Sus scrofa: one gene and its partners. The protein of the gene in region 1 interacts with the protein of each later gene in a biochemical or structural test. Links are inferred from orthologs where the notes say so. Each region holds a gene or a part of one and is shown in the gene's direction. Other genes may lie near its edges.

What was found.
Region 2: the proteins of PCNA (region 1) and POLD1 form a complex in vitro, tested with the Homo sapiens proteins (4 studies listed by BioGRID, with this or other methods). The link is inferred for Sus scrofa from reciprocal best matches to the Homo sapiens genes PCNA and POLD1.
Region 3: the proteins of PCNA (region 1) and KMT5A form a complex in vitro, tested with the Homo sapiens proteins (4 studies listed by BioGRID, with this or other methods). The link is inferred for Sus scrofa from reciprocal best matches to the Homo sapiens genes PCNA and KMT5A.

What each region holds. Positions count from the first base shown.
Region 1 is NC_010459.5:14,140,315-14,144,060, reverse strand, and holds the start of PCNA (proliferating cell nuclear antigen), read left to right. Parts: upstream 1-1,476; 5' UTR 1,477-1,517; coding exon 1,518-1,738; intron 1,739-2,634; coding exon 2,635-2,732; intron 2,733-2,891; coding exon 2,892-2,959; intron 2,960-3,692; coding exon 3,693-3,746. UniProt on the Homo sapiens protein: Auxiliary protein of DNA polymerase delta and epsilon, is involved in the control of eukaryotic DNA replication by increasing the polymerase's processibility during elongation of the leading strand.
Region 2 is NC_010448.4:55,264,761-55,268,406, forward strand, and holds part of POLD1 (DNA polymerase delta catalytic subunit), read left to right. Parts: intron 1-2,438; coding exon 2,439-2,534; intron 2,535-2,640; coding exon 2,641-2,778; intron 2,779-3,646. UniProt on the Homo sapiens protein: As the catalytic component of the trimeric (Pol-delta3 complex) and tetrameric DNA polymerase delta complexes (Pol-delta4 complex), plays a crucial role in high fidelity genome replication, including in lagging strand synthesis, and repair.
Region 3 is NC_010456.5:29,536,998-29,540,643, reverse strand, and holds part of KMT5A (N-lysine methyltransferase KMT5A), read left to right. Parts: intron 1-2,970; exon of another isoform or gene 2,971-3,019; coding exon of another isoform or gene 3,020-3,040; intron 3,041-3,308; coding exon 3,309-3,430; intron 3,431-3,646. UniProt on the Homo sapiens protein: Protein-lysine N-methyltransferase that monomethylates both histones and non-histone proteins. Specifically monomethylates 'Lys-20' of histone H4 (H4K20me1).

The sequences.
Region 1 (3,746 bases):
CATGTATATGCTCTTTGATCCAGCAATACTACCTCAAAGACTTGCCCGAATTACAAGAAATTGGTAAATCTTTTTTTAAAGAGATGATGATGTAGAAAAGAAGTACGTGGCATAAAATTAAACATACTTTGTTAAGTATTTTGCATAAGTGTTTACAGTATAAACCGTTTTTTTGTTTTTTGTTTTCAGGGCCGCGCCCGAGGCATAGGGAAGTTCCCAGGCTGCGGGTAGAATACGAGCTACAGCTGCTGGCCTATGCCACAGCAACTCCAGATCCAAGCCGCGTCTGTGACCTACACCACAGCTCACGGCAACGCCTGATCCTTAACTCACTGAGCAAGGCCAGGGATCGAGCCGCAACCTCAGGGTTCCTAATCGGATTGTTTCCACTGCGCTACTAGGGGAACTCCCTGAATTTTGTTTTTATTTAATTATTTATTTATTTTTGTCTTTTCTAGGGCAGCTCCCGCGGCACATGGAGGTTCCCAGGCTAGGGGTCCAATCGGAGCTGTAGCCACCAGCCTACTACTCCAGAGCCACAGCAACTCAGAATCTCAGCCGCATCTGCAACCTATACCACAGCTCACAGCAACGCCGGATCCTTAACCCGCTGAGCAAGGCCAGGGTTCGAACCCGCAACCTCATGGTTCCTAGTCGGATTCGTTAACCACTGCGCCACGACGGGAACTCCTGAATTTTGTTTTTAAAAGTACATTTGTACAAAAAAAAAAGCTTAGAAAGTTGTATGCAGTAAACGATAGTTTGGTGTGTGTGTGGTGGGGGAGGCGATGGCAGTGGGGAGCCACGATAACTGTTTTCTTTTAATCATAACTGTACATCTCTTTATTGTTCACTTTTAGGAACGCTTCTATAATTGCTACTCTATAATAGCAGGGGGAAAAAAGTGCATATTTAAAGTAGCTATACTCTTTAGGCGCATGGTGGCTCTTCCTCCTAGAAGGCTGGATTTCCGTTTCACCTTCACTTTCAAGGCTGTAAATGTCCCATCCCTCAAGCGGGAAATTGATGAGGCACCACAAAGCCACCTCAACGACCCCCCCCCAAGCCTAGGCCTGACCTTCACACTTGCCCCGACTTGTCTAACGTCCGGGCGCCGGAACACGACAAAAAGGCGGGGAGCCCCGCAGGATGCCTATCAGCAGGCCCTCGTTAGGCGCAAGATTCCTGCCCCGCCCCTACGCCCACACTCTCCAATGGATGTTCGGGGTGGGACGGGCTTCATGTGGAGCAGGGACACGATTGGCTCCGCAGCCTCTCCGCCCAGGCAGTGGGCGGGGCAGCGTGGTGACGTAGCCATGAAGGGCGTGGGGGCGTAGCGCGCGCTCGCAGACGCGGCTGTATTAAACCGCTGCAGGCGCGGCCGGCTGGCAGTGTGCGTCCTCCGGTTCAGGCTCTGTTGTGGTGTTTTCCTGCTCTCTCTCAACTTCTGAAGCCTAAGCCGGCTACTCCTTCCTTCTTTCTTCCACCTGTAGCCGCGTCGTTGTGATTCCACCACCATGTTCGAGGCGCGCCTGGTCCAGGGCTCTATCCTGAAGAAGGTGCTGGAAGCGCTTAAAGACCTCATCAACGAGGCCTGCTGGGACATCAGCTCCAGCGGCGTGAACCTGCAGAGCATGGACTCGTCTCATGTCTCTTTGGTGCAGCTCACCCTGCGCTCCGAGGGCTTCGACACGTACCGCTGCGACCGCAATTTGGCCATGGGCGTGAACCTCACCAGGTGAGTCCCGAAGCCGCAGACTGTCGGGCCCGCGGACACCCCTACCTCCGCTCTTGGCGGGAGCGCCCATAAGGCGGGCCCTTATTGGCTGGCGTGGGATATCTGCACCTTTCTTATTGGCCTGTGGCGCGGGGCGGGGGGGCGGGACCAGTAGCAGAGCGCGCGGTTCGGAAAGCCCGCGCTGACTGCAGCGCGAACCGGCTGTTTCCGCGCCAAAGTCACAAAGCAAGTGGTGGCGGGAAAACGACGGGCTTCTTCGCGGTGCCAGGAAAAGATTGTTGCGGAGCCCTTGGTTATTAATTGCAGGCGCCTTTAGATGAGCCGCTTTATAATTTGCCCTACTTCTGTCGCCGTGATATGGACAATAGCTTACTTTTTTACCGCAAAGTTGCAGTGAACATCCTAAGATCCTGGATTTGAGGAAAAATTTCTCCAGGAAGGACAGTGGTTTTAAACTTTTTGATCACTACCTTTCCTAGTACATACACATGTTTAAGTTTTAAAGCTTGTGAAAAGTGTTTACCCGTGCTACACTCAATATAATAGACTGGTGCTTCAGTGGGTACATTAAAATCTAAGATCGTCGCGGCCCAATAATTTACTTCACCCACCAAAGGGATTTGTACTTTCTAAAATACTGGTCTTTTTTTTAATATCCCGAAGCGAAATTGCACATTGTGGGGTGTGGGCTTTTTCGTATAAGTATAAATACTGGCAGATTGCATTCCAAAACGGCTGGACTCTCTTACATCTTCCTGCAGTACGTTTCCCAAACTCGCCAATTCGACACGTGGTCCAGTGGTTAAAAGTGGTAACTCATGGTTTTAATTGAGTTAGAAAGCTAACGATCTTGAGAAGATGGTGTCGATTTTAAACTCTTGTCTCCTGTGTTCCAGCATGTCCAAAATACTAAAATGTGCTGGCAATGAAGACATCATTACGCTAAGGGCAGAAGATAATGCAGACACCTTGGCACTAGTGTTTGAAGCTCCAAGTAAGTTACACCCTTCTGAGTTAATGCTAGAGGAGATTAGAATGCAGTGTCTTTATTTCCCAAAGCTGAGAGAAATTTAAGATAGTTTGTGGTAATTGTAAAATTTATCACAATTATAAACCTACATGTTTTTCTTCATCGTTTGCTTTCTTTTGGTAGATCAGGAAAAGGTTTCAGACTATGAAATGAAGTTAATGGATTTAGATGTTGAGCAACTTGGAATTCCAGTGAGTATCAAAGTTTCTGATTGAGCATACTACATACAGTCATGATAGTTACATAAAATATATTAATATAATAAAGCCTACTTCCTAAAAGAGCTTTTTCTGTATATCTGCTCATGTATGTTCCAAATCCGAGTATTTAGACTGATATAAATGATGGTATTCTGCAATGGCTCATTGTTTTGAATTGATTGCTGCCACATGCATATTTGCATTAACCTAATTGACTCTCTTCTTTTTATTCCTACAATGCTTAATTTTTTATTGAGTACATTTTAAAGCTACTTTAGCAGAAATTCATTATGCTTTGGTTTATCAACATTAAATGAGAGAAGAGGGTTTGGATGTTTAATATGCCTAGTAATTGTATTTTCTTGTTTTGTTTTTCAAAAAAATGACGGCCTGTTAGCACCGTCATTGTGTGTGTGCTATACCCTAATGTTCTCTTGATTTAACCCTGTAGATCATTTAAGGGGAGGCTCTTGTTCCCTGGACAGTGCATTTACTATAAAAGTTCAAGTTCTTATTTGTTTCCTTTGATTATTTTATAACATTCTTGTTCTATAACTGTGTTTACGTTTTGAGTGGTTAGAGTATGTTAAGAAATTACACAAAGTGATATTTCAAAATAATTAGAAAACCTTAAATTCTCTTGTTTAAATGCTGAGTCTTCAGACAGTAAGGGTGCCAAATCTTTCATTTCCATTCATTGAACTTAAGTTTCCTTGTTTCATAGGAACAAGAGTACAGCTGTGTAGTAAAGATGCCTTCTGGTGAATTTGCACGTATA
Region 2 (3,646 bases), on another chromosome or scaffold:
GACCATCCCCTGTGGGTTGGGCCTTGTGCCCTGTGGGTCCAGCAGGTGACACATGGGACAAGAGTTCCTGTCTCACTTGCCCAGCCTACCAGGAATACAGATGGTGACAGCCAGCAGTAAATGCTGCTCGCAAAGCTATTGGTGCCAGGGGTTCTGTAGATAAAGTCGGAGAGGGACGGGCGTGGCCGGGCGGGGTGGGCGGAGGCCGAGACCGAGGGAGGGCAGCAGTCTTGCTCATTCTTTCCGTCTGTCACACAGCCACCTAACAGACCCTAGGTCCCTGGCAGTCTCCACCCCAGCCCATCTCCTCCCCTGGTCCCCACGAGGAGAGGGGAGCAGAGAGCAGGTTTCCTCCCCCTTCCTAAGGGGGCTAGGGCAAGGCCGGAGGTCAGCCAGCGGCCTTGTCAAGCTCTTGCACTTGATATGCTATGTGTCCTCCGTGTCCGTCTTGTCCCTGCGTGAGCACCCCAGTGGGGACGCTTGGCAGATGCTAGAACAGTGTTCTGCTCCAAGAGGAGTGTGGGCAGAAAAGCCCACTGCCTCCCTCCCTGCCCACAGCAGCATCCTAGGCCTGTTTGCTCTGCTGCTCAGACAGGAAGGCAAGACCACAGGGGGCCTGGGTCTCCAAAATTCTGCCAAGCTGGGTTCAGTGCCTCAGCTCCTGGCCTACAAGGTTCTTAGGAAAGTCTTCTGTGTAGCCCCTTCCCCTAGGGTTTGGGGCCTGGCATATTCCAGACTTGGTTACCTCCAGCCACGGGGAGCTCCCTCCCTGATACTGTGTCCTCACATGGCTCTGGGTGAAAGACTTGGAAGAATGGGCAGCAGGCGGGGCTGGGGCCACTTATGCTGGGAGGGGCCTTGTGCACACCCCCTGTACACACTTGGAGTTGAGGGGCCCCCAAGCCCATCCTCAGATCCAGTGATTCACTAGAAGGATTCAGAGGCTCAGAAAAGCAGTTAAGCTCATGGTTGTGATTTATTGCCGCGACAGGCTGGGGATTAACATCGGCCAAAGGAAAGGCGCGTGGGGCAGAGTCCAGGGGGACCAAGCACAAGCTCCCAGGTGTCCCCCGGCTCCTGTGGACGGTGTTGTTCCTCCCAGCATGGAGGCTGAGCTGCACACACCTGGTCCTGCCCATCAGGGACGCTCACCTGAGCATTGGTGTCCTGGGTTTTTATTGGAGATCAGTTGTGGAGGCAGGGAGCCCCGTGTGACTGACCCTAGTGACTCAGTCTCCTGGCCGTCCAGAGGTCAAACTGATCCCATGTGGCCCAAGGTCCCTGCCGTAAATCACATTAGCACAGGTCACTTGGTGTGACCCAAGGTCCCAAGTGAACAAAGACGCTTGTGAAGCAGGACATGCCGAGGGCTCCCAAGCACCCACAAAGAGCCAGGTGCCTCTCTGGGCAAAGTGCATCTCTTAGACAGGCCACCCTTACCCCGCGGACTTGCCCTTCCTAATCCCTGGGGGCCACCTCCAGCCTCCTTGGTGGAAAGAAGTGGGTGTTTGATCATCAGCTTCCAGCCCCCTATGGGGAGACCAGGCAGGAGGCTGGGGCTTTTCCTCCCCTGGGGCTTCTCGTCATCGCAGCTGTTGCTTCCTGGCCTTCTCTCTCTCTCATCTCCCTCTCAGCCCCTTCCCTCTGTCTCTGTTTTGTTTTGGTGTCTTAGCCTCTTTCCCTGTTTCTGTCTCTCAAGCTTATGGGGGCAGGGGAATGAAGGAAAACAAATACACAGCCAGAATACTGAGTCATTCCTGAAAAGGCAAGGAAAGAACAGGGAACAGAGAGCAGGCGGAACAGATGAAAGACAGTCCAGTGGTAGGTTTAAGCCCAGATGCAATTGGTGATTACACTAAACATAAGTGGCTCAAACACTGTCCTTAAAGACCAGGATTTTCTGACTGGATCCAAACAGAAACACCCATTTATCCTTGGTGTGTCCCTCCTCCTTTCCCAGCCTGTTTCCTTATTTGTAGAAGGTTATTGAAGACGAATGGGCTCTCTCGAGGCACTGGTACAGCCCCCTCCCTTGGAGGGGAGGCATTTAACAGCTGGTGGGGTCACTTCCAATTGCCCAAGGATGGGCGGGCAGGACCAGGAAGGTCCAGGGTCCTGCGCCTCGGACAGGAGAGCTACCCGGAATGTCGCTGGATGTGGAGAGAAATACCAAGCTGATGGCCTCGTCTGGCTCCAGCCTTTCCGCTGCTCGTTTACTGCAGTCAGTTCCGCCTCTGCCCTGAGCTCTGGCCCGGGGATCCATTTCTTTCCATTAAGGAGCAGTTCAGCAGCCCCATTTCGCAGGTTTGGAAGCTGAGACCCAGAGGGTGGCGGAGTAGCGCACCCGCCAGGTCCACACCCGTAGGAAGCAGCGGAAGTGGGACTACCATCCTGTGTGGCCCCTGGGCCCTCACGCCGCGTGGTTCTCTCCCCAACAGAGCGTCACTGGGTTCGGGCGCCAGATGATCGAGAAGACAAAGCAGCTGGTGGAGTCCAAGTACACGGTGGAGAACGGCTACGGCACCAGCGCCAAGGTGGGGCCTCCTCCTGTCCGCCTGAGTTGGGCCTGGGGCTGGTGTGGAGAGCGCAGGGGCCAACGACGTCTCCCCGCCTCCCCCGGGCACATGCGCCCCTCCCCAGGTGGTGTACGGCGACACCGACTCCGTCATGTGCCGATTTGGCGTCTCCTCTGTGGCCGAGGCGATGGCCCTGGGGCGCGAGGCCGCAGACTGGGTGTCTGGCCACTTCCCCGCGCCCATCCGGCTGGAGTTTGAGAAAGTAAGTGCCCCCCCCACTCCCACCCCCCCGAGACCTGGTAGGCAGGCGTGGGTCTTGCCAGCTTGGGGCGTCTCTCTTAGGATGCCTACAGAGTTTAAGAATGCATTCAGGAGTTCCCATCGTGGTTTAGTGGAAATGAATCTGACTAGTATCCATGGGGACACAGGTTCGATCCCTAGCCTCGCTCAGCGGGTTAAGAATCAGGCTTTGCCGTGAGCTGTGGTGTAGGTTGCAGATGTGGCTCGGATCTGGGGTGGCTGTGGCTGTGGCGTAGGCTGGCAGCTGCTGCTCCAATTCCACCCCTAGCCTGGGAACCTCCATATCCTGCCAGTGTGGCCCTAGAAAGACCAAAAACAAAAACAAAACAAAAGTGTGCATTTGTGGGAGTTCCCACTGTGGCACAACAGGGTTGACAGTGTCTCTGCAGCACTAGGACGCAGGTTCGATCCCTGGTCCAGCACAATGGGTTAGGGATCTGGTGTTGCTGCAGCCGTGGCCTGGGTGGAAACTAGCTGGGATCCGCTCCCTGGCCCGGGAACTCCATGTGCCACAGGATGACCGAAAAAGAACACATTTGTGTGGGCTTCTCCTCTACCTCAGCATCTGGGAAGCCCCAGTGTTGTCAGGGTGTCGATGTTGGGGTGCTCTGGCTATCCCATTCTTTAGTTCATGACCCGCCGTGTCGAGGTATTTTGCTGCCTGAACCCTGAGTTCAGGACGTGGGCTTCTCTGAACAGGAGGGTGTCTGTTTTCTGGAGACCCTGTCCGCCTGGGGGAGCTGCTCTGTGCAGCAGGGACCCTGACCGGGGTGATTCCTGGATCCCAACACTGTTGTCCTTGCTCCCCAGCACCCAGCACGTGACAGGCC
Region 3 (3,646 bases), on another chromosome or scaffold:
TAGTTGGAAAGGTTAGATTAAATAATGCATCATATTATATTATAAGGGCTAACACAGTAAAAATTCAGTAAGTGTTAGCTATTAGTATCGTTGCTGTTGAATTCTAGTTTGTTTGGTTTTTTTTGGCCGCACCCATGGCATGTAGAAGTTCCCAGGCCAGGGGCTGAACCCGAACCACAGCAGTGACAATGCCGAGTCCTTAACCCACTGTGCCAACAGGGAATTCCTGAATTCTGTTTCTATGAGATCCTGGGCAACAGTAAGAGATTTTCTTTCTGTTAATTGGTAAATGTATTTGTTTTTTTTTGTTTTTTTTGGTTTTTTTTTTTTTTGTTTTTTTTTGTTTTTTTTTTTTTTGTCTTTTTGCTATTTCTTGGGCCGCTCCCGCGGCATATGGAGGTTCCCAGGCTAGGGGTCGAATCGGAGCTGTAGCCACTGGCCTACGCCAGGGCCACAGCAACGTGGGATCCGAGCCGCGTCTGCAACCTACATCACAGCTCACGGCAACGCCGGATCGTTAACCCACTGAGCAAGGGCAGGGACCGAACCCGCAACCTCATGGTTCCTAGTCGGATTCGTTAACCACTGCGCCACGACGGGAACTCCTGTATTTGTTATATATGTGTGAACACCTCATGTACAGAGAAAACATGTTTTGAAACTTCACTGAATGATCTCTACTACATTTTCTAGGTACTAGAGCTTCAGAATTGAGAGGAATAGGTACTAGACTTGCATTTTAATGTATGCCCTGCATTTGTAGGCTGGAGAAAACTACAGCCATGAGTGTGTGTGTGTATGTGTGTGTGGTGTGTGTGTGTGTGTGTGTGTGTGTGTGTGTGTGTGTGTAGTGGGGGTGGGGAGTTAAAATAGTATGAGAAGTGGACAAGATGATCTGAGCAGCTGCTTGCTGCCTCCAAATCATGATTTCCATAATAGTTTGGCATCAAACTACAAACCTGTTCTGCTCTGCAGAGGTAACAGACACTTTCAAATAGCTCAACCTGGGTGCCAGAATGTCGCTTTAGAATCCTCTTTAACTCTCTGTGTAGTCTCTTCAGTCTTCATGTGGGCAGAGTACCACCAGAGTTAGTGGTTGGGTGGGGATGGGGGAGGGGCTCCTCAGCCCTGCTCTGAAGGATGCTAAAGCATGAGCTGATTTGGGAGGCATTGTCCTGAGCAGTGTCTTGCCATTTAATCCACTCTTATCCCTTCTAAGGGGAGGCAGCTGTTTAAAGTGACAGCCATTTGTTTATTTGTGGATTTTGGAAGGTGCCCTGGGTGGGTTATGGAATTCATAGTTCTTGGTTTATTTTTGCTGTTGTTGTTGGTTTTTGTTTTTGTTTTTTTTTTTTTGTCTTTCTGCCATTTCTTGGGCCACTCTTGTGGCATATGGAGGTTCCCAGGCTAGGGGTCAAATTGGAGCTGTAGCCACCGGCCTACACCAGAGCCACAGCAATTCGGGATCCGAGCCACATCTGTGACCTACACCACAGCTCACAGCAACGCTGGATCCTTAACCTACTGAGCAAGGGCAGGGATCGAATCCGAAACCTCATGGTTCCTAGTCAGATTCGTTAACCACTGAACCACAACGGGAACTCCCATAGCTCTTGGTTTTTATCCATGAGGATGCTGAGATCTAGACTGGGTCTCAAAGCACCTCTGGGGCAGATGCAGGGAGAGATACCCAATCTTTGTCTTCCAGGCCATAACCCAAGGCTAGATGTCCTGAGGTGTCTTGTTTGCATCTATGACTTTGCACAAATACAGAGACTCTTTGGCTGTGGGCCCTCAAACCCCAATGGCTACGCTACAGCACAGTGGTTCAGGGCAATAAGCTATGCTGAGATAACTGCACTGCCTAGAACTCCTGCTTGCCTCAGACATTTTCTCTTTGGGGGACAGGAGGCTTGGGTGACTTGCTAAACCGTTCTCTAACACACTTGCTCCTTCCTACTTATTTCCTCATCTGTAACCAGGAAGATAGTGGCTAAGACTACAGCCTCTGGGGTCTGTTGGCCTGGAAATCTATTTCTAGTTCTGAGAATTTGGCCAAGCTTCTCACTTTTCTGAGCATTATTTTCCCTATCTGTGGAGGAGGTAATAATGGTGACTACCTTCACCCGGCTGCTGTGAGGTTTGACTGAGATAAGATATGCAAGAGAAGCACCCAGCAAACACACCATTATAATTCCTGGCTCTGTCTCCCCAGGGTCTGCACCGGTGCCGTGCAGACCAAGTGGGTTTGACACCTGACCTGGTCATGTTCTAGTTCAGGTGGCCTTAGGCAAGCAGCTGCACTTCCCCAGAGGCTCAGTATCTTCATCAAAACGGGCTATGCACAGGACCTGCCCCCCCGGACTTGCCGGAAAGATTAAGTGCCCGGAAAACGTTCTGTGAGCACAGGCTCGGGCACCCCGGAGGGCTCTCTCGCCTGTCGCATTCACCGCTGCTGACTGCGCCTGGCTCGGACGGGTCTCCCGAAATATCTGAGGAGCGGGCCAGAGAAGGACCCTGGCGGGCGAAAGCCGGGGCTGTCATTATCATTTTTCCCACCCCTTCCTCCCGGAGTGGCTGAGAACGTGCGAGAGGGGGCGCGCCCGAGTCGGGATTCGTCGCGGCCGCGGGGCCCGCCCTCCCTCCCTCGCTCCCCTCCCTTCCTCCCTCCCTCGGGAGGAGCCTTGCAGCACCGCCCCTGCCAGCCCCCTCCCCGGCCGGGAGCGGACGGTGGGCGGTGGCGGCGGCGGCGGCTAGCAGGCGGGCCGCGGGGGACGCGCCGCCAGCGCCTCCCTCCCTGCGTCCTCGCTCCCGGGCTGGCCCGGGCTGCCGCGGCGCGCGGGTGCCGGGCCCTGCCTCGCAGGCCATGGGGGAAGGGGGCGCCGTGGGGCGCCGCCGGCCCTTCCCCGGGGCGCCGCGCCGGCGCTGGTGGCGGCGGCAGCAGCAGCAACAGCGGCAGCGGCAGCGCTGGTGGCCGGGCCGCGGCGGCGGCGGCGGCGAGGGCGAGGGGCGCGCCGCCATGGGCCTGGCCGGGCTGCAGGTGGGTGTGTCGGGCCCGGCCGCGCGGGGGGCGGGCGGCGCGCGGGGCCCGGCCGGGCCGGGCGGCGGGAGGGCGACGCGGGCCCCGGCCTGGCCCGGCCGGCCGGCCTCGGCCTCTCGGCGGCACGGGCGGCCCGTCGCCGCCGGGTCCTCGGAATATGGCTGCGGCGGGAGGCGCCGCCGCGGCGCCCGGCCCGGGCGGCCCCGCTCCCCGCCCCGCCGCGCCCTGAGCGCCCCCTCCCCCGCTTCCCCCGGGTCCCCCTCTCCAGGCAGGAAGATGTCCAAGCCCCGCGCGGTGGAGGCGGCGGCGGCGGCGGCGGCGGTGGCAGCGACGGCCCCGGGCCCGGAGATGGTGGAGCGGAGGGGCCCGGGGAGGCCCCGCACCAATGGGGTAAGCAGGCACCCTCCCCGCACTCGCTCCGCGCGCCCAGAAGGGCCATGCGCCCCCGCCGGCCCCGCTCCGATAGCACGTGGGCGCGCCGGCGGCCCTGGGGCTGGGGTGCGGGTGGGGCGCCCCGCCGGGCAGCTGCCTGCCTGGGAGTGGCGTCCACACTCGCTCCGCCATGACCCTGGCAATGTTTGACCTCGGAAAAGTTTGTGTCTTTAT